Struthio camelus: one gene and its partner. The protein of the gene in region 2 purifies or fractionates together with the protein of the main gene of each other region. This does not show direct contact. Links are inferred from orthologs where the notes say so. Each region holds a gene or a part of one and is shown on either strand. Other genes may lie near its edges.

Evidence for each region.
Region 1: the proteins of PPP2R2D (region 2) and SERTAD4 purify together in Homo sapiens (affinity purification with mass spectrometry; 3 studies listed by BioGRID and IntAct, counting the BioPlex papers as one, with this or other methods). This does not show direct contact. The link is inferred for Struthio camelus from reciprocal best matches to the Homo sapiens genes PPP2R2D and SERTAD4.

What each region holds. Positions count from the first base shown.
Region 1 is NC_090944.1:113,206,870-113,217,185, reverse strand, and holds the start of SERTAD4 (SERTA domain-containing protein 4), read right to left. Parts: upstream 4,438-10,316; 5' UTR 4,321-4,437; intron 3,956-4,320; 5' UTR 3,940-3,955; coding exon 3,747-3,939; intron 3,327-3,746; coding exon 3,211-3,326; intron 11-3,210; coding exon 1-10.
Region 2 is NC_090948.1:1,115,283-1,126,166, forward strand, and holds the start of PPP2R2D (serine/threonine-protein phosphatase 2A 55 kDa regulatory subunit B delta isoform), read right to left. Parts: upstream 4,648-10,884; 5' UTR 4,502-4,647; coding exon 4,495-4,501; intron 4,276-4,494; coding exon 4,195-4,275; intron 1-4,194. UniProt on the Homo sapiens protein: Substrate-recognition subunit of protein phosphatase 2A (PP2A) that plays a key role in cell cycle by controlling mitosis entry and exit. Involved in chromosome clustering during late mitosis by mediating dephosphorylation of MKI67.

The DNA of each region.
Region 1 (10,316 bases), on a different chromosome or scaffold from region 2:
CCGAGATGGTCTGAAAATGCAAAAGATAGAGGATACGCAACTGAAATCCAGGCAAGGAGAAAACAAATGGAGCACAGTATTTTGTCACTTTGGGCCACTACTTTTCTCATTCTGTTACTGCAGCACCTAGAACTGGCTCTGTGGCGCACACCCGTGTAGCTGGGGACTTGCTTTCTGTTGGCCACAAAATTTACCCAGATTTAGGAGATAAGTAGCCTAGTGTTACCCACCGAGAGCTAATAACAGGGCACCAATCCAGGACGTGAGAGCAAAATCCGGACGCACAAATCTAGCTTTTTATTTGCATTCTGGGTTAGACTGTAAAACTGTCGGGCAGCTTTGCTCCAGCGATCCCCGGGGGCTTTTTGATGTAAATAGACCCAATTCTGTCCCCCGTGGGGCTTCGACAAAGCCATGAGCCGAGGCGACGGCTCCCCCCCTGCAGCCCCACCGCTGTGAAAGCTTTGCCGATCCCGGTCGGTGGCCATGGCCCTCGCGCAGCCGGCGCGGGGGCATTTCATCCCCCGCCCGGGGCCCGGGCCCGCCGGTGAGGAGGTCTCTGTTTGCCAGGCTGCCTCGGACTGCTCCTGCGCACCGAAAGCACGCAGGCAGGAAGGCAGGGGGAAGCCAGTCTCAAAGCATCGCCACATCTGGTGAGCAGCTGTCGGCCCGCACGCTGCACCCTGCGTGCTGCGCGCTCGGTGGGAACGCGGGTCGGCAGGGACAAGGTCAGGAAACTAAGAGCGGGTAGGGATTTGAGAAAAGCTTGGCTCTGAGCCCGCGGATTTGTTCTCCCTTCCACGGTCCTCCCAGGACTGCCTTTCTCGGCACTGGCAGCACGAACAGGTTACTGCCCCCAGGAGGCCCTGGCTTCAGCGCTGTAATCGCTACCCTGGGAATCCAAACAGAGAGGGGGTAATGCGTGCTACTGTAAGCAGTATTAACTAATTTTCATTTTTAGTAAGAATTTAGTTTGCGTAGGAGGAGAGAAGCACAGCACAAAGAGAGGCTGCTCTAAATCCCCCCCCCCCCATCCGTGGCTCGATCATTCTTCCCTTTCCCACATGGTTACAGCATTTTTGCAGAGTGGAAGTCGTAGCTATGAGGACTGAAAGAGCTTAAAGCACAGCTGCTTTTCACATCCATTCAGCTCTCCTCAGCCCTCCAGCTCTCTCCACAGCCTGGGCCTGTCTGCAGGCTCAGAAGCAGCACACTGCCTCATAAAAACAAGAATTGGCCGTGTTTGCCATGTGCGTTCCCAGCTGAAACTCTTCTGTGTTAGAAGGAGTAATCTGCTGCAATAAATGATTCACTTTAAATTACATTAAGCCTATAGGTTAATTTGTGTCCTTTATGTTGCATTAATAGCCAGTGAACCCATAAAATCCCTGAGCAAACCCATAAGCCTTGGACTGAGATCCTCCTGGAGATATGTCCTGGAGAGCCACCAGTAGTTACAAGTTGTCAAAGGCCTTCCACTACAAATGCTTTGCCAGCTGTCCTGGAGAGGGGCTCCAGGGCCCTACCGTCATACCCGCCGTGGGAAGAAGTAACCCGAGAACATAGCTCGCTCTTTACTGGGCAGAGGAGGTATAAAAACGTGTAAGGAATTCAAAGAAATCTGGTGGGAATCCTCCCTCCCCCAGAGCTCAGCGCTGCAGAGTAGAAAACGTATCTGTGCCGAAAAGCACAAATCGGTGACCCGAGATTTCTGACATGATACATTTCTACAATAGCACAAAATGATGTCTGAGACAGGTCTATCTTACCAGTACCTCTACAGCTGTTTTTCATGCTATTAAAAAGGAGAAGCAACTGTTCATTTTTAGGAGGCAAATAATCACTGGTACAAAAATCCAACAATCTATTCAAGAAAAGAGTTGGCTGAAATTAGAGAATGATGTGTGTATGAACGTATGTATACACACACACACACACACACACAACATATATATGTACATATATGTATAAATAGAGCACATTTTTCAGCACCTTCTGTGCCATTTATTCATTGTTCTGAAAGCAGATGAAACATCTTCTGGAATTAACGACAGGGCAATTTTTCACCTTCCGGTCAATTATTCACTTCCAGCCAATACTATTTGTAGCTGAAAACTCCTTTGGCTATCCTGAGGTCCTGGGGGAGCGAGCTTGTCACTACTGCTCACTTCTCCTAAGTGAAAATCTCTCCGGAGAAATAGGATCCAAATGGCCAAACCTCCCCAGGAGGTGCCCGTGGTATGAATGAGGCCTGAAATCCCATCTCGTCTCAGAGGCTGCCTCTCCAGGTGGGAACTGCAATGCAAGCGAAGATAATGTAGAAACTCGCTCTGCCTCTTGCTTTGTTTTGGCTTCTGCCTCTGGGGCTCTCATGGTACTACTGCCTTCCCTGAGCAGTGCTTTAATCACATTGTATTATGTCATCTCTATCTCCAATCGTAAACGGATAGCACAGGAGTACCATGGGCCAGGTATGATCCAGTCAGGTAAGGAGGAGGTCTCAAGGTGCAAGCTAGCCTTCAGCACATCAGTGCAGGTGTTCAGTTCCTTACAGGACTGAGCAAGGGCATAAAATCTCTCATAAAAAGTTAGACTTCAATTTATGTATTCACCGGCCTGAGAAGTGTTTGCTCTAGTCCCTCTCTTGAGAGCTTTAATTAAAAAAAATATATTTTTCATTTCCTAATCTGTTCTTTTGTAGTTATTAGCTTTTCTATAAACAGGATTAAATACTGAAGGAGATTGAACTCCCTCTCAAGTCATTCTGTTTCTCTAGAGAAACTCTATACCTGTTTGGGCTATATGGAACCTATTATTATTTTCCCCTCTGTAAAAAGTTTCGAGTGAATGGGGAAACATGCATCCTTCTTATTTACATTGTTCATTTTTGGTGTTTAAACTCTAGAGAACTGTCTCTATAAAGATGATGTAAGCTACTTAAGAGCAAAACTATGTTCTTAAGAACACAAAAGTTATTCTGAGCATTTACATTTACAGTTGTTATAGCTGAAGAAATGCCTTTCCTTCTGAAGCCATTCGATGACAACAAAACAATAAATGCGAACAAGTGAGAACTATTCATTTCTAAGCAAACAGCTGGATCATTCTCCTAATTTCAGTGGAGTATTTCAGCCTTCTGGAAATGGGTCAGTCAAGCGTTACTAAGCATCTGAAACTCGGAGTAAAAATAATGACTACTAGAAAACATACTTTATGTGTACAGCTGCTGAGTGGTGGATGAAAATCCTCTTCTTCCACATATTTCCTTTTAAAGTATGTGATCTTGGGTGTTGTTACAGGATTTGAAATTCCCCTGTAATGTGATCCTGTGGGCAATAAATCAGATATGACAAATGACATGCGGTTTGCCGGAGGTTCTCCAAACAAAATACTTCTCATTTCCCTCTCTCGCTACAGGAGAGCTCCACCACATATTTTCGCATATGTCCGTAGCGATCAAAAGTAAAACCTTCACCTGCCTCACGCACACACCGCGCGCAACGTGCGCTGGCCCGGGCCACCGAGGACCGTCTCAAGGGGCAGCGCTGGCAGGCTCGACACATCCCCCGGCCTGGCGGCTTGGGCAAAACTTTCCTCCCCGCTTTCCAGCCAGCCGGACGAGCGGCTGCGCCGGTCAGGGCGCCCCGGCCGCCCCCGCCGCTCGCTACCAGCGGGTTTCATACACCTGCCCCAAACCCGCCGCCCCCTGCCCCTGCAGCCCGGCCGCCCGGCGCGGCGGTGCCTACCTGCGCCCGGGGCCGGGGCCGGGGCCGGGGCTGCGGCGGGGCCGGGGCCGGGGCCGGGGCCGGGGCCGGGGCCGGGGCGGCCGCAGCAGGGCGGCTCCCAGAGGGCGCGGCAGGCGGCGAGGTCGGCGGCTCCCTCGGCGGCGGCGGCGGCGATGGGGTGGCCCAGCCGCTGCATGGGCAGCACCAGGGTCATCGCGGGCGCCCGGCACCTGGAAGCGAAGCAGCGGCGTCAGCGCCCCGCGCAGCGGCGCCGAGCCGGGCCGAGCCGAGCCGAGCCGGGCCGGGCCGAGCCGGGCCGGGCCGAGCCGAGCCGCCCTCCCGGTGCCCCCGCAGCCCGCCGCCGCCGCGTTTCACCTGCCCGCCCTCCGCCGGGGCTTTCCGCCGCGGCCGGAGCAGATGCATCATGCACACAGGCGGGCACGCGTACGTTGCCAACCTGTTTTTTTTTTTTTTCTTTTTTTCCCCCCTCCCTCCTTGTCGCAAGCAAAAGAGCCGAGCCCCGACCGAGCCCTCCCCACACAGGGCGCGGGGTCCCCCCACTGCCCCCCGGCCCGGCCCGGCACCGCTCACACACCGGCACGGATCCGCTCACTCGCTTCCCATATTCTCCCGGTGGCGTTGGCACAGCGCGCTCGGCACCGGCGGGTGTGTGTGCGTGTGTGTGTGTGTGCGTGTGCGTGTGTGTGCGCGCACACACCAGTTGGGGATTGCGTTTCTTTCTTCTTTCTTCCCTCCCAAACGGAACAGACAGAAGAGACTTAGGTAGTTGTTTCCACTAGCCCCGCTCGGACTGAACTGGATCTGCCTCCAGTCAAAACACTGCGAGACTAAGACAGAAAATTGGCTCCGGTTTCAAGCCGTGAGTTGCAGTCCCGCAGGAGCCAAGCACAACATCGGCGGAGCAAGGCAGAATATTAAACAGGAGCGGGGACCGCAGGGCCAGCGCCGGGCTGCGAGCCGCCTCCTGCCGCCGCCAGCCGGGCCGCGCAGCGCCGCGCAGCGCCGCGCACCGAGCAAACTTTCCGCCAGGGGCCGGGGATGAGTCCAGCGGCACCGGCTCCCCGGCAGAGGCGCGTGGAACAATGCCCCGAGCCGCAGCCTCGCCCCTCCTCCTCCTCCTCTTCCTCCTCCTCTCTCGAAGAAAGCGGGATATAGTTTCCTCCCCGTGCAATCTTCCCGCGGGGGGGACGCAAGGGCCCAAGCGCAGGGCGAGAAGGGGGCCGCAGGTGGGCAAGGTGGAAGCCCGGCGGTTGTTTGCGTTAGCGGCGGAGCTCTGTCTAGTCGGGGGCGGGGGGGGGGGGGGAGAAAAGAAACGGCAGCAGGAGAAGGAGAAGAATAAATCATTCACATCTGCCGGTTGTTTTCTTAAATCCTTGAAGAATGCGCAAGGCTGCTACGTTATTAAGAAACGGTCTTCCAGCACGCACTAACTTTCTGTTCCTGAGCTGCGCGCGTCGCCGGGTCTGCGCTGCGCTCCTCGCTGAGGCAGAGGACGGGAGGCGAATGGGAAGTCAGCTGAAATCCCTGAGCATTTAGCTCGGTGAAGGCCACCAGGCGCCACCGCAAATGCACTAAGAGATGCATAAACCCCTTCCTCATAATCAAATTATTTTCTAGCTTGAACCAGGCTTACAGGCAAGGAAGCACACGTTACACGTGACCCCCGGCCCCTTTTCTCAGAGTAGCGCATTAATGCCATCTTGCTTTTTCTGGAGAAAGAAACGCTGACACGAGGAACCCCAGGCCACCGGACCGGCCCGTTAGGAACGAGCCATGACACAGACAATACACATTGTTCCCTGCCCCTTGGGTTGCCAGCTGAGTGCCGACACATGGAAAGTCTGGTCCAAACCACGAGTGGGTGAGTCGGCTGACCTAAGGAGAAGATCTAAAAAAAAGCCTACAAACTAGCTTAAAAAGTCATAGATTTCGTGCGTGAAAGGATTACACTGTCGTTAGAAAGCACCCGTGGACTCGTCTCATTAATCTGCACTGAGGCATCACTCACAGTCAGACATCAGTCTCCTAATGTTGGCATGATGTCAACATGCAGCATTTGTCCTTAGAGAATAAGGGTTGGAAGAAACTCGCTGCCGCTTGTGGAAAGTCGGTATTTCTTTGCTTGTAATGAATTCAGCATCTCTTTGTGGAAATTTTTTATGAGAATAGCATTGGAGATCTGGACTGTGCATTTTTTTACCATGTTTCATCACAAACAGGTCTTTCTATGCTTAAGCAGAAACACACAGGAAGGAAGGAAGTGTTGGGATGCCTTCTGCACAGCGCTGCTGATTTATCTTGAAAAACTGAGTTCTGTGGACAGCCTGTAAAGTAAATGAACTGCTGCTGCTATTTACAACATGCAAAATTAATAGAGGCAGGCCAGTTCACTTCTATAAACAGCTACTGTCCATGCACATTCTCCATGTTTTCAAATAGAATAAAAACAAAACATAGAGCTTCCTTAGGGGGAAAAAAGAAGGCAACCTCCCCCCCCCCCCAAATTGTAGGTCTCGGCGTGGTGTCACTCAGCTACAAAATAAGCCCCATTTTGTAGCAAAGAAATTGCTTCAGTGCACAGAAGCCGAGAGCCAGTCTTTGAAAAGGGCTTCCGATTCTGGGCATGCGATTTGCTCTTGTTTGATTTTCAGAAGCACTGATTTCCAACTGCTGCAAATGAGTGGGAGGGGAGCTGCGAGTACTCGGCACATCTGAAACATCAGCCTCCTTCCGTGTAAAGTTCGGCACCACGCAACTGCAAGGCTGAAGAGGTCGGTCTTACCGACAGAGTGGTACCGTACCTAACGTCGGCACTCTGCCAGAGCTCCGGCATTACTCCTAAAGAATTAAGATACTGTTTCTCCCCGTTAAGGGTGGCAAAAGCTACTCTTGAATATTTTGCCAAAAGTCACAGAGCAAACCAGCGTCAGAGCTAGAAATAGAACCCAGATCTCATCATCCCCCAGCCACAAGCCCAGCCCATTTGTAGTACATTATTGTATGTAGTGTAGGGATTTCGTCCAAAATCCCATTCATTTCAATGAGACCTTGCAGAACAGCACATGCATTGTTACATTTCCATTAACACCACTGGAAGTAAAGGATGAAAGATGCACGTTTGAGCACACAATACATGTACTATACAAAATTACAGCAAAAGGTTGACACTTAGGGCTGGATTCAATTTTAAGAAATCCATTTGGGAGCCTTGTGTGGGCTTCAGTGGCATGGAAGCCAGGCACAATTTTTTATTGAACCCAGCCCTCAATCCTTAGGCTACCACAGTTTTTCCACTTTGTCAGCCAAACGCATGCAGTGCAAGGACACCCTGAGGCATCTACAGCAGCCTGAAGGTTAAAATGTCAAACTTTTTCCGTATGCGGTTTTGCACAGTACGACTACTATACATTGCTACTCCACTCCATTTGCCGGGGTTTTCACTCACTGTTCCTCCAGAGCCATTATGATGTTAATGAGAGAACTGTAATGATGCCATTCACATTATAACAAGCCTGATGCCGATGTCAGTGAAAAGGGCTCTTTATATAGCTCCAGAATGCCTCTAAAAACCCCAACTTAAATATAAAATGCCTGCTACAATAATGCTGCAGGTCTCACCAAGATCAATAAGGACAAGAGAATAGTCTTAAAGGGGCTATGCCTTTCTTAAGTCCTGGGCTTGTACTTAAGTGCTCTTGAGGTTTCAGTATTTATCATACACCCTGTTCTGGAGTATTTTCATAGCATAACAAGACAACTTAAGGACAGAGCAATGCTTCTTAACTGTACTATATCACTGTGGATCATAGTGCTTAGGAAATATCATTGCCTTCATGTTGGTGGCTGTTACCTTGCTGGTGTTATTTGAAATTCACACTGCAGAAATCCCCCTGTACAAGCCCTGCGCACAAGCAGTGCTTGTCTGCACCCAGGGTCTAAAGAAAGCAAGCGGCATCCAGAGAGAGGAAAGGGAAAGATACTGCACAGAGTGCTGCATATACATGAAAAAAGCAACAACAACATCGCACATAAACAATTCCAGCGTAGCCTCTTTCATAGCTGCCTAGTCTTCACGGTTGCTGCAACAAAGTTGGGTATCACCAATCTATCCGGTGGAGGCTCTGTGGGCAAGAGCAGCGTGGGAAAGGGCCAAAAGGCTCTCCCGCGAGAAGCAGACAAACGCACAGGGACGCCCGCCTCCCCGGTGAACAGCGAGAAGAGCCACGCAGTGGAGACAGTCGTGGGGCAGCAACAACCAAGGCAGAGCTGAGACGGCCTAGAACGGGAAAACAAAGGACTTGACTTGACGCAGGAAAATAAGGAGGAAAGGCAGGAGGCGATTGGCTCGGACCACAGCAATGGGCATGGAAGGAGACGTAAGAGCTTTTGCTTGAGTAGATCAAGCTAGCTGTCATGCCAGAAGTTCAAGGGGGAAGAAGTTACAAGCCTAGATGGGAAATACCAGGGCCTTGATTCAAATGCTTATTGCCTGAATAGATAAGGATGCAGTTACAGAAACATTGTGAGTGAAGCAGCGGAAAACTGGGGCAACTGAGCCACAGTAAATGACCGCCAAGAGTCAAGCAGATCCCTGAATTCAAGGCTCTGGTGGTAACGAGAACAGCAAGATTGCAAGCATTGGGTTAAGTGGGAAACATCTAGAATTGGCTGTGCTGAATGTAAACGGAAAGCTGGACTTCCAAGAGACAGGCCATGGTTTGGGAGCAGACGCAGACAGGCCCGAAGGAAAACAAAGATCTCCTCCATATCTCGATAATACGAACAGGTGAGACGAACTACGGTATTTCAGCACACTGATACGGAGCATTCGCTCCTGAGCAGCGAGCTCCCAGTTTAGCGCCACAGCGGAGAACGAAGAAAGGGCCGGGGCCCCGCGTTCGCCAGAGGCTGGAGTGGAAAAGGGAGTGAGGGTTCCCGATCAACAGTAAACAGAGGAGTCAGTCTGAAGGAGGGAGCCACGTACTTGGTAGAAAAAGAGGAGCAGGGCACCGCTGGAAGGTGCAACGATAACCTGGTACAAAAGGCACGAAGAAGGGAGATGTCAAGCGACCGCAGGGAAGAGGCAGAGGGGAAGGGGGAAATGACGACAGGTGGCAGCAAGTCAGCGCGGACTCTGTGCAGTGATGTTTTTCCATTCTTTCCAATGCATGTTGTATCGGAAACATATATAATACCATTTCACATGAGCATGATACAGGAGTGATGTGAAAGAGTTAAGATCGGGTGAAATATCTAGACTGGTAAAACAACAGGTCTGTGTGCCAACAGGGTCAATTCAGCTCTTCATCCTTCTGAGGTAGATAAACTATAGACCTGCCAAGTCTAGTGTTTTTCCCTGTATTTCTTGGCCCTCACTTGAGGGAAATTCAAGCAATCCTCTGTTGGGATTTTTTTTCTAGGGTTGGACTTACTGTTCAGTGGAAAGGGAATTCACTTGAGATCAGAAATTGATTTGTGAGTCAAGAAATAGCCTTTCCACGAGAGTGTTTCAAAGGTATCTTCACTTTCTTAACTTCTGTCCTAATTTCAATGATACAAATCCAGATGATCTTGTGTCTCTGTCTTTAGATAGAATTTTAAGCAGATGTTTCTCTAACTTCCCTAATTCCCACATATTCGTCTTTTTTCCTTTTCATTCAGTTGAAGTCTTCCCATGAAAATTGTTTGGGTTTACTTTGTTTCAGTTAGTTAGGGTCCCCTGATTTTCTTAGCTAACATTTTTTTTCAGTGAAAAAGGAAAAAAAGAAAATGTACTTTCAAATTCTTAACTTTCCAGTACAAAATTTTAAAGTCTCATTACCACCTTCTCCAGACTATCAGAATAGAAACGGATTGTGTGCTTTGATTTTATTACTTTTTGATATGTTAGAATTAACTGAGAAATAGTTAATTCTACTAGTTGCTCCTTTTTCTGCTTCTTGTTTCGCCTGAGGGAAAACAATAATATTGATAGAAAAGTGGTCTCCTTCCTTTATTTGATCCTTTATAAGTATCAGCACTCTTGACAGCCAATACGCAGTGAACTCTTAAACAGTGGTTGTGAGGGCTATAGTTTGCGCCAGAAATATATGATTCAGATTCAAATATATGAATCTATTTTTGCTACAGAGCTCTGGCAGACAGGAAAAAAAGGTAACATCAGGTTTATTGCAGCCGTCTCCTGAGGAGTGCTTATCCTGCCTGCTCTAGGAGAACAATAAAACTCCATGGTATTTATTTCAGTAAGCATACATGTTTTTTCCAGTGTTCTTAGCCAAAATGTCTCATTCGCTCTGCTTCCACCCCACTGGTGGTGCATGGCTTGCTATACGCATAAAACTCCGTCCAGGTTCTACTTAGCTCAATGGGAGTTCAGCTTGCAAAATACTTTAGTATCCTGAGAGTAAAAGGTGCTCCTATTGTTGTAAACTACAACTGATAGTATTTTTGATTAGTTAACTTATGTGGTGGGTTTTGACACTGAATAGGTGCTGGATGTTATTATTATGACTGAAATCAGAGAGGAAGAGGGTCACACCAGTCAGGCTGGGCTGGCAAAGCAAAGTCCTT
Region 2 (10,884 bases):
TCACCTAAAATAGCTTCAAAGCTCACTCACCTGCTACCCCATTCTAGTAAGCAGTGAGATTATCAGAAACAAGTAATTATTAAGAATGAGAAGAAATGCAATTCAAATGGCTTAATAAGTATTCCCTCATCAAATTTTTCAGTTCTTACAGGGAAATAAAACAAAGCCCCAAAAACTCAGCAACTTAAAGATAGTAACTAGGTCTATCATTCCTTCCATTCAATCTTAATCAGATGTCAAACAGCTATACCTTTTTTTAGAAGGAAAAAAAGTGAAAACATTAGCTTTGAAAATAACGAGAAAGTGCCCGTTAAACTCCTGAACAATACACGAGAACATTTTTTAAGCCACTGGTTTGTAAAAAGGATTTAACACAAGGGGCATTTTTAAACTTGAGAACAATTGCAGGATTTTAGATCAATGTATTTTTTATCAGACCATAGTTTTCTTTTCTACTTGTATTCTGTGTTTAAATAAACTTTGAGGATGGACTTACTCAGTACTACAATAAGTTTTAAAAGGTGAACTAGAAAATTCGTGGAACGGATGGGAAACAAGGTATCTTTTAGTTCAACAGTGCTGTAAATGCCAGCTACAATTTGGAGATTTCAAAAACTGTAGTTTCTCTTTTAATGATCAGGAAACCAACAACAGCACAACTACTCTTAAAGTCAATTACAACCTTTTTGGTAGAGAAAGAGTTCTTTTCTTATGAAATACCTTACAAAGGTGCATCCTTAAGTTAATGAACAGGATTTCACAGCATCTCTTCTCTACTGCAAAGGAAGAGCACCATGTCCCGCAATTATTCGCAGGACCAGGCTTCAGACTCAGCTGCTTCAAAAAAAATTCAAATATAGCACTTGAAACAAGTACTGCTTTCATCTGGGGAACTTCATTAGCTGAAGTCTTTACCCGTTTTATTTAGTGGGGTAATCACACTCTTAAAACTGTTCACATCTGAGACAGGAAGATATATTTAATCAGTACTGAATTAAAACAGCACTTACAGAAGTTCATCACAAACCAAAAACCCATAAAGATCGTTTGGGGGAAGGTGGAGGGGGGGAGCTGTTTAAAACCAAAACCCAAAGAAACTACAATATCAACAGTAGGAAATCTAAGATCTCCACAGTATACAGCTTCATGTTCTGACAAGAATTTCCAACTTGTCAATAGCACAAGATAATTAGGAAGACTTACAGTGCACGCTATAAAACCAAGAAGCCCCACACAGGGGCAAGTGCGCGTGCACACACACACGTTGTTAATTATGTCCAGAAGTAGTTACAGATTATATGCAGAACATCTGGCCCAGAGGATTTGGGCATATTCGTGCATTAAGTAACGGTAACCGTTTGATATTTTGCTTGCCAACCTTCCCCCACCCACAAAACCAGAACTTTTTTGAACATGTGGACCAAATTGGATAAAACACCGAAATCACAAAACTAACTAGGTCTGAGACAGCATTAAAAAAAAAAAAAAATTGAAGCCTGTACTTAGAATGCTACTTTCTACCAAAATAGGTAATCCAAGAATAACAATCCCAAGTTCCACAGGCTATGAGCATTGTGTTTGTATTCACATGCTTTTATACAAACAATAATTACAACACAAGTTTACTTTTTTTTTTTTTTTTTTTAAAATGAATCACAGAACAGTTGAGGTTGGAAGGGACCTCTGGAAATCATCTAGTCCAACCCCTCTGCACAAGCAAGGTCAAATGAAATTTGTTACCATTTTCAATACCAGTTATTTCATTCAATAACTGTTTTTCCCCCCTAGTCCTGCTCCTTGAATCCAGCCAAAGTTTTCTGCTTTAAAAACTGCATATTTCAATAACTGATACATTTTACTCATCTCTTTAGGTGACCAATCTGGCTATGTCAAACACTGTTCTTCTTTGAAATCTATTCAATGCTGTGTTTAAATAACTAGATTACTGGTTCAATACACAGAAAACACAAAGAAGAGACAAAGTAATTTTCTATATTAACGACCTACTTAGAAAAAATCTTCAGAATGCAGATGGCAGTTGCAAATCTAAGGGCATCAATTTGTCATAGCCATGCTAATATTTCCATCAAAGCAGTACCTCTGAAAAACAATTGCTGAGTATAAAATGTATTCAAGAATAACAGTTCAGAAGGAAGAGACCTTTTTAGTTAAGTTTAGTTAAGTCCAAATGTCAGGCTTCGTAATTTTAACCACTAGATAAACCGTCTATACGAACATTAAACAAAAAGTCTGTATTTAATGCATTTAACAGCTACTTTATGTTGTCATTTTCAGATTTCCTTCCTTTATAGGGCTATTTTTTTTCCCAAATCACAGAAATAAAATTACAAAAATAGCAAGCTGACAGAAAAAGACAGAATTCACAGTGGTTCTAGTCAATATCTCAGTAACAAGGCAAAAATCTAGCAATGGAATCATGTTCTTATTGCATATTGCAGAGTCAAATTCTGGCAATTATGAACATACCAGCTTTGTGTGGTTTCCACATTTAATTCCTATTTCAAGGCAAAAACTAATAGAGGGAAGAAAAGAACAAAAATGGAATATAGACAGCGAGTCACTAAGACTACAACTGATTCTGATATTCCAGAAGGAAAACAAAACCCTAGTACCAATTCTGCAAAACCACACACTGACTGATTACATACATTAGTTGCCCTATGAAGTAAATGGAATTACACGTAATAACCTCACATAATCTGCAGCCCTCACTCCAGAAGAAGTCTAAGAACTCAAGAGTAAATCCCAGAAAAATCGTTGAACACCAGAGGCACTATTTTCCCCATAACTTTTCAAAACATAGAGCTTTCACCTCTTTAACCTAAGAAACTCATCAGTCTCTGTGACTCATCTCTTCAGTAACACAAGTTTCTTTTCTCCGAACAGTGCTGTTACACACTTTGCTAACTGACGGGGTTTAAGACACTGGTGTTTCAAAAAGCAGAAGCTTTCTGACTCTACACAAATTCATGTTGCTCAGCAGTAACCGGGAAGTAAGGTGCTCAGAGAAGTATATTTATTCTAACATGGAGAACCGACTTTTAAGCAATATAGGTGAGAGATATTAAGACAGAAGGACCATTTTGGAAAGTCATAAAAGCCACTTAACTCATTACATAAGCAATCTGGAAACTTCAAAATAATATTACGTCTCAAAATCTATTTAGAAAAAAAAGGGGGGTGGGGGGAAGAAAACAACCACCTCAACTGAACACTAGTTCCTCAAGTGGTTTCCAAGTCTATTCCTCCCATAGCTATTATTTTGAATGGAATGTCAAAACAAGTGGCAGGGAAATGAAAACACTGTCAGAATAATTTCTCTATAGTAGACAGTAAGAGAAAACATTTACCGCATCCAGCAAAAAAATCTACAATCCAAGACGACCACACACAGAGACTATAAGTAACTTAACTTTTTATTGTATTTTATTTTATTGTAAGTAATGTCAGTTAATATAGTAAAAGTCTAAATAAATACCACAGAACGCTGTTTCACACACATATTGTGTAGAAAAGAGTGAAGTATTTCCAACTTGAACAGTTTAAACACGGAAAATTTAGAAAAAAAGGAGAACGTTCTCATCAAACTCCAGCAGAGCTTCACGTGTCAATTCTACACACTACAAAAATACTTCTTCCAAGTAAAACATTTCTTGTTTTCTACTCATGCCAAAGCACGTTGCACTTCGTAGGTTCCAGAGAAACGTTAAGGTGTGCCTGTTTTTCCTACTTAAATACCTTATTGGCAGCTTCCACAGGCTAACGACTAGGAATAAAATCCATTCACAGCTGCCAGAGCCTTTAAACCCTACTTTTTAAGTTAAGCCCACACGACGGAGCCACGCACTCTCTCCTTGCTTCAGAGCGAAACTCGGCAAGCCTGACAGACTCCATTTGTGCGGTCGGTTTCCTCCTCCCCCCCTCCCCCTTTGCAGTTAGTCCCCGTCGTTACTCCTTCTCCCCAGGGACTGCCGGCCGGGAGGAAGCCCCCCCGCCTGCTCGGGGATGCTGCCCTGAGCGGGGCGCGGGCACCAGCTTAGTCACGGCCAGGTGCGCCCCGTCCCGCGAGCCTCGGGCGGGGAGGGCAGCGCGGCTGCCGCTGGGCCGCCCCCCGCCTCGGCTCCGCGGCCCCCCGGCCCAGCCCGGCTCGGCCCGCGGCGGCGCCGCCCTTACCTTCCGCCACGTCCTCGTCGATAGCCCCCTTCACCTGGGAGAAGCACCACTGGAAATCGTTGCCGCCGCCTCCTGCCACCCCTGGGGAAGGGAAAGAGCTCGGTGAAGGGAGCCCGCCGCCCCCAGCCGCGGCCCGGCCCCAGCCCCGGCGCAGGCCGCGCCCCTCAGCCCCGCCGCCCCGGCGCAGGGCCGCGCTGCCCGCGTCCGCGCGGCGCGGCCTGCCGCCCTGCCCTGCCCTGCCCTGCCCGCACCGGCGGCAGCAGCAGCGCGGGCCGGGCGGCGCGGCGCGGCCCTCCTCACCTGCCATGTCGCGCGGTGCCGGTGAGGCGGGGGGCCGCGGGGGGCAGGCGCCGGCCGGGAGCGGGTCGGGGCCGCCGCCGCACGGAGCTGCCGCCGCTGCAGGGCTCGGCGTTTCAAAATGGCGCCCATTGCCGGTCGGCCTGATCCGGTGACGTCATCGCCCGGCTGCCCGCAGGGCGGGGGCGAGCGCGGGGCTGAGGCGGCGGCGGCGGCGGGCGCGGCTCCGTCCCCGACCCCGTCCCCGGCGGCCGTGACGGAAAGCACCCGGCGCTGCCGGGCTGCCCCGGTTCCGGCGGCCGCCGGCAACTCTTGGGGCGATCCTGCTGCTCGTCGCCAGCGCGGCGGCTTGGGGGGGGGGGAGGCGGTTGGAAGCCCCGATGCCTGAGAAGGCGCTTGCGACCGACGGCTGGAAAAATCACGAGTTGCCTCAGAATCGCCGCTCTCCCTCAGAAACGGGATCCTCCCGTCGTGAAATGTGACCTCCGCCGCCCCCCCGCCACGCACCCCCCCCCAACACACAGAGGGGTTCGGGGTTATAAACTACCGTTAGGAATCGCGGCTTTCTGCGGAGGGGCAGGCGCTGCAGGCGGCGCCGAGGTCCTCAGGGCTGGGAAGTAACGTTGTTGTTGAACACGAGAACTTCTGTTTTAAACGCATACATATCATTTCTTTAGGTTCCTCTGCCAGTGAGATGGCAGATCCGTGGCTGGGCGAGGTGAAGGAAGGAGGGCTGAAGCCGCGCTCCGGTGCGCTGGGGAAGGGGCCTACGGACCTGGAAAGCGCCGGTCTCCTAATGAAAAGGGCTATGAAAGGCCGCACCGGAGAGGAGCAGCATCAGCTTCCTTGAACAGGAGGAAAGAAAAGGATAAGGGGGCTTAGGTTGGAAGCAGCTTAGGAAATAAAGGCGTATGTAGGGGTAGGTTTCTGTCACGGCTGAATGGCGGCATGTAGTTTTTGGCCCAGGGGTCGCAGGTTCTTCTAAAGCCGTTGGGTTATGGATGATCCGCTTCGTTAGGGTGAAGCGAGGGCGTTGGGATGGTGGAGGTCAGCTCCTCAGATTGGGAAGAGCCTCCAGAAAACAAAACGGGACGCAGGGAGCGCGTGTCTCTGCCCGCGCAGTGAAGGCGGCCGGCCGCTTGGGAGAACGCCGGGTTGAGCCATGTGCTGGCGCAGCAGCCCCTGAGGTCTGTCCCCGTCTGGCCTTCTGGAGTCAGGTTTGTGATGCTTTCAGCTGTGGTGGTGTCAGCAAACGCATCTGGCCTCTCCTAAAGAGAGTATAACTGTGCGCACTTGATGTGGCAGAACTCTAAAATTCCTGATTTTAGTGAGAATCCCTTTCTGGCTTCTCTTTGAAGATGCGTTCTTCTGTCCTGTAAATAATGAATATTACTGGTGCTCCATTTAGTTTTGGCTTCTTACGTTACCTGTTTTTTCTAAACTAGTATACACACTGAAAGCTGTGAAAATGCAGTTTTTAACCCCTAAAGCCTAAATAGCATGAAGAAATCTAAATTAGTTTGTTATTTTTCCTTAACTCCTGTGTGGACAAGTTTTCCACCTGCAAGGCCCTCAGAAAGTGACTTCAAAGCCTGGACTAATTTTGTGGTTGATAAAGAGACTGATTTGCAAAAAGATATTTTTGCATTCAACTTAAGGGTCTCAGAGTTTATTTGTGGGGGTAGGAAAGTGATCTCTTATGGCAAGTGGCTATTAGTTGCTTTTTGTTTGTGATTAAGTTTCTGGGCTGGAGAGAACTTCTTGGACAAGTTCTGTTCTTATGAAAACTATTTCTTACCTGTTGAAAGTTGACTCTGTTTTCTGACTGCCTTGCACATTCAGCCCATAATGATTATCCAAATACGTTTATAGGTGAAATTAATGTTATATCTGTGTTATAATTTTATGGATACCTGAAACTTTTGCATTAAAAGATGAAGACTGTGGTAGGCACAATATTGTATGAAAACTCTATAGATAAGGAGATGTGGTATATCATTAATGTAAATCCAAATGGTATTAACTTTGTTTAAAGGAACTCAGTCTTGATGCTTTTATTTGTATTACCAATAAAAACATATTTAACTAAAAGTTAAAACTTGTGTATGCTGTGACCTGAATAGATACAGCTCAATCACAGACTAGAGATTTCAAAGCACAAGGGCATTTCAGCTTGAAGTTAACACTGGCTTCATTCCATTATTGAACTGAGAGTGAAAACCTTATGTCACACTGTCGGCTTGAATCTGCTTAAATCTTGATGATAGCTACTTGTCATGATTCAGGTCTGTGACCTGAGCTTCTAGGCATTGTTGAGCAATTTAAAAGCTAATTCAAAAAATCAGTGAAAAATCAGTATTTTTACTGGGACAGTTTATAGCCTATTTTATGTGTCTTATTGTTGTTATGGCGAGCTATAATGGTAAGATGGTTTAAAAAGAAAAGTTGGTTGGATAGCTCTTGTGCCTATGCTTTGGACGTCCTCAACTGCCTTATGAGTGATTGTAGAGAAGATAGAGGACAGATGCTTCTCAGTGGTGCGGAGTCAAAGGACAAAAGTCAACTGATACAAGCTGCGGGAAGGGAAATTCAGATTAGATGCAAGAAAAAAGTTCTTCTCAGGAGGGCAATCTAACACTGGAACCAGGAGCCAGAGAGGTGGTGAAATCCCCATCCTTGGAAAAATTCTTGACTGGGCAAGGCCCTAAGCAGCCAGGTCTAACTTTGAAAGTGACCCTGCTTTAAGCAGGGGCATGGGCTAAATGATCTCCAGAGGTCCCTTCTGACCACAGTGATTCTCAGTGTCTGATATAACGTTGTGTTAATTAGCTTAGTATTTTTGGACGTCTATGCGTTGGAGGTTTTGTGTGCTGATGTATTTTTGTAGAGAACTAGATGCCATAAACTCATGTAAATTAATGAGTATGCATAATTTGAGAGCTAATTTAAATGTTGACATAGGTAAATTTGTTTTGAGGATATCCTACTAATCAGAAGATTGGAATAAAAATAGCTGATAATTTAGTTAGCGTCCTGAAATGGATGCATACGTTTGTTCGTATTCTAATGTGTGGGTTTTATGAACAGGAATTTTTTTAAAAGACTTCGTAGGAATTTAGGAAGATTTAAAAAAAAAGTTAAAAATATCTCTGCAGGATATACCTTTCTTTTTAATTATATTCAAAGAATATATCCCATAAAATCAAGGAACTAGTTAGTTCTCGTAAGCTTTCTAAAGCTTGGAACTCAAATTCAAAAAAGATTCAGCCACTCACGATCCACTGGTTGGTTTGCAGTCTATGAAGTTGTTTAAAATTCTCTGACATTTATGGGAGATGTTCTTAAATGTTACTCTGCTCACTTGCTTCCACCTGAAAATAGATGTATATGTCATGTTTTTTGGTAAAAAGGTGAGGGCTGCATATTACGGGCTGGGGAATGCTTTCCAGAATTACAAAACTCTAGCATTCATCGCTTGTATCAAACTGCTGAAAAATGTTTTCCAGTGCTCAGCTATCTATGTATTGGTATTGGACTATGCACAGGAGCCTCGTGGCAGTGGTTATTATACAAGCGATAGGATGAGAGGAGGGTGTAGTATTTTTATATAATTCTCAGAATTAAAGCACTGTGTGTTTGCATTAGCCATTTTTAGATTAATGGTTTAGCGTAACATATTTAAGAGTTACACTTAGGAGAAAGTGACGCTTTGCTCTTGCCACACTTAGCAAGAAAAGCTACTGACAGAGATGTTTCCAAATGTTTTCTTGAAATAGTATCTTGCCTAGCCAGTTGCTTGATGCCCCCTGACATATGCGGTGTGAAATGTTGTTGCCAACTCATCAGCAGTTGTTCTTCTCATCTCATTTCCCATTATCTGTTTATGATTAAACAAAGCCCTGAGCCCCACTGGGGGTTTGATACTGCTCTTTCATAACTATCGCTCTGAAAATAAAGCATGCTGAAAGTATGTTTGTATTTTCAAAAAATGCAGTGCAAGCCATAGAAATGGCATTTATCATACAGTGAAAGACAGCTGGGTGTCATAAGATATCACACTTCACTAACAGATGCATATTAGGTACTAATTGACATAAAAACATCTGATTATTCTTAGGTGGAAAAAAAAGATTTTTTTGCATAGTTTTTTATCTCTTTTCCAAATTTCAAAGAAAGAAGTTAGTAAACTAGTGAGTTAGTTTTATTTTATTAGCCCTGTATTTAGCCTTATTACCTGCATTTTTTAAAAAAATGCGTTTATCAACACGGCCCATGAAAGTATTCCAAACTTCAGGCTAGTAGTACTTAAACTTCAGATTGAACTTTCTTTAATTACAGGAATTGTCCGCCCTCCTTATCTTTCCCACCACTGCCTGCGTACAGGAATGCCTTCTCTTACCTCTTTCCCAAAACCATGAGCTATACAAACCCTGATGTCTCCCAAATATTATAATTTAGACTATTTTGCTTTACCAAAGAGTCCTTTAATCCAAGCATCACTAAAGCCCCTTTCTCCTCATCCAGCCTTGATGTCCTAAAACTTATAGTTCAACTTTTATCCTGGCTTCCTGCTTTCCCCAAACACGGGTGCTCTAGCCAGCACCGTTGCCCTCCCCAGCTGCTGCCAGCCTGTGCGTCCCGTGCTTGGGCGGAAGTTCCCATGCTGTGTTGCAGCCGCTCCTGCCAGCCTATCCCCCAGCTGATTTGCTTCACTGGCAAGGGGAGCTCTTTCAGGAAGAAGCAGCACCACCTTTTTTTCTCAGTTTTAGTTTGGCTGCTGCAGCACTCTTCCTTTTTATATTTTGGGTAGCTTTTGTAGGAGGGAAGGGATGATGACATATGCTTTGCTCACTGTTTGATGCTGCAAATGCAAAACATGCCCTAGCTAGCCACAACTTCTTGTCCTGCTTACCTTCCAGTATTATTGGCTGCACATGAACTTCACACCTTTTGTGCTGTTCTTGAAAAGGAAAGAATAGGGGAAAAAAGAAAGAGAACTGCAGATACCTTTGCTGCAGGTGCCAGTCATGATGAATGAACCTTGGAAGCCTTAGCTTTAGATAATTAAAAGCAGTGTTTTTTTCCTAAAATAGCGCAGAAAAACCCCACCCCACTTTGATAGCTGAATCACCTCCTGACTGAAGAAAATGTCTGCTCTATTGTGTTTTTCGTGCTGTGATCCAGTAATTGCTTTCTGGCGTTACAGGGGAAAAACTTTAGCTAGACAGAAACAGAATTGTATTATTATAATTTATAATTGGATTCCTTCTGTTTCCTCGCTATTTTTTCTTTTTGGCCTGCCTTATTGCATTTTGCGTTTAGTCTCCTGAAGTTTGATCCATGCTCATTTGGTCATTACTTGAGCTTTTTAAAGGATACCTTCTTCTATCCAAACATCTCCCTTGTCAGCACACTGTTCAGCTATGCTGGCTTTCTCCTGCCTTTTTCCAAGCCTTTCTAAGAGGTGGTATGCTTTGGCTGTGAACATTGTGCGTTGAATTAAGTAGCCGTCTTCCAACCTAAGAGAGGTTTAACTCTTGGTTGCCTCACAGACTACTTCTAACAAGCTTGTTTTTTTAGTCTGCCTTTATAAAGTTGATCATAAATTTTAATGGATTTTAAGTCTTTGTGGGTCTTGTAGGGAGACTGAACAGTATTAGAGTTGCTATATTACATGTCACTTTTCAACTGTAAGATTTGAAGTGAAGTCTTGCATGTTACTGGGGACTGAGCCAGGGATCGCATCTTGTGTTGCGGGCTAACTAGCTGTTTCATGAAACAGTAGTTGGTAGCACCTGGGATTAGTTTTGAGGATTATCTCCTGATATGGCCCTTACCTCCATGTAGATTGGGAAAATTATGATTCTCCTTACCCTTGCATTTTCTACTCTCGGATACGCTTTGGTGTAGTGCAGTCAGCATTGCCGCTGTCCTGGCAGGCAGGCAGGAACTTTTGATCGGTGCTATAGCCTTCATGTTTTGGCTTGTAACTTCTGTGTGCGCTCATTGCGATAGCTGGCTTGTTAACTTCATTTTATTCTATGCTTGCTTTAGCACTGCTTCGCCACCAGCGTGGCCTGTTCTTTTCCTGCGTCTTTTTCGTTGTGGCGCTGAAGCGTTCCGCTGTTTGTCTTCATTCGGCAAAGCTTCGGTGTGTGCCTCCGCAGCCGAGCTCTTTAAAAGCTAAGCGTTCCAGTTTCCCCAGGTACAACTGTTGCCTCTTTTCTTGGTAACCTAGTTCAGTGAGTTTGTCTTCCATTTCCTATCTGACTGTTTCTATCCTCTGTATCTTCGAATGAAGGATAGTTCAGACTTTCCAATCCTTCATCCCTCACAGAAACATCGTACTGAATTGTGTGTTCTTCCACACCTGCCAGCTTTCCTTCGTAGTTC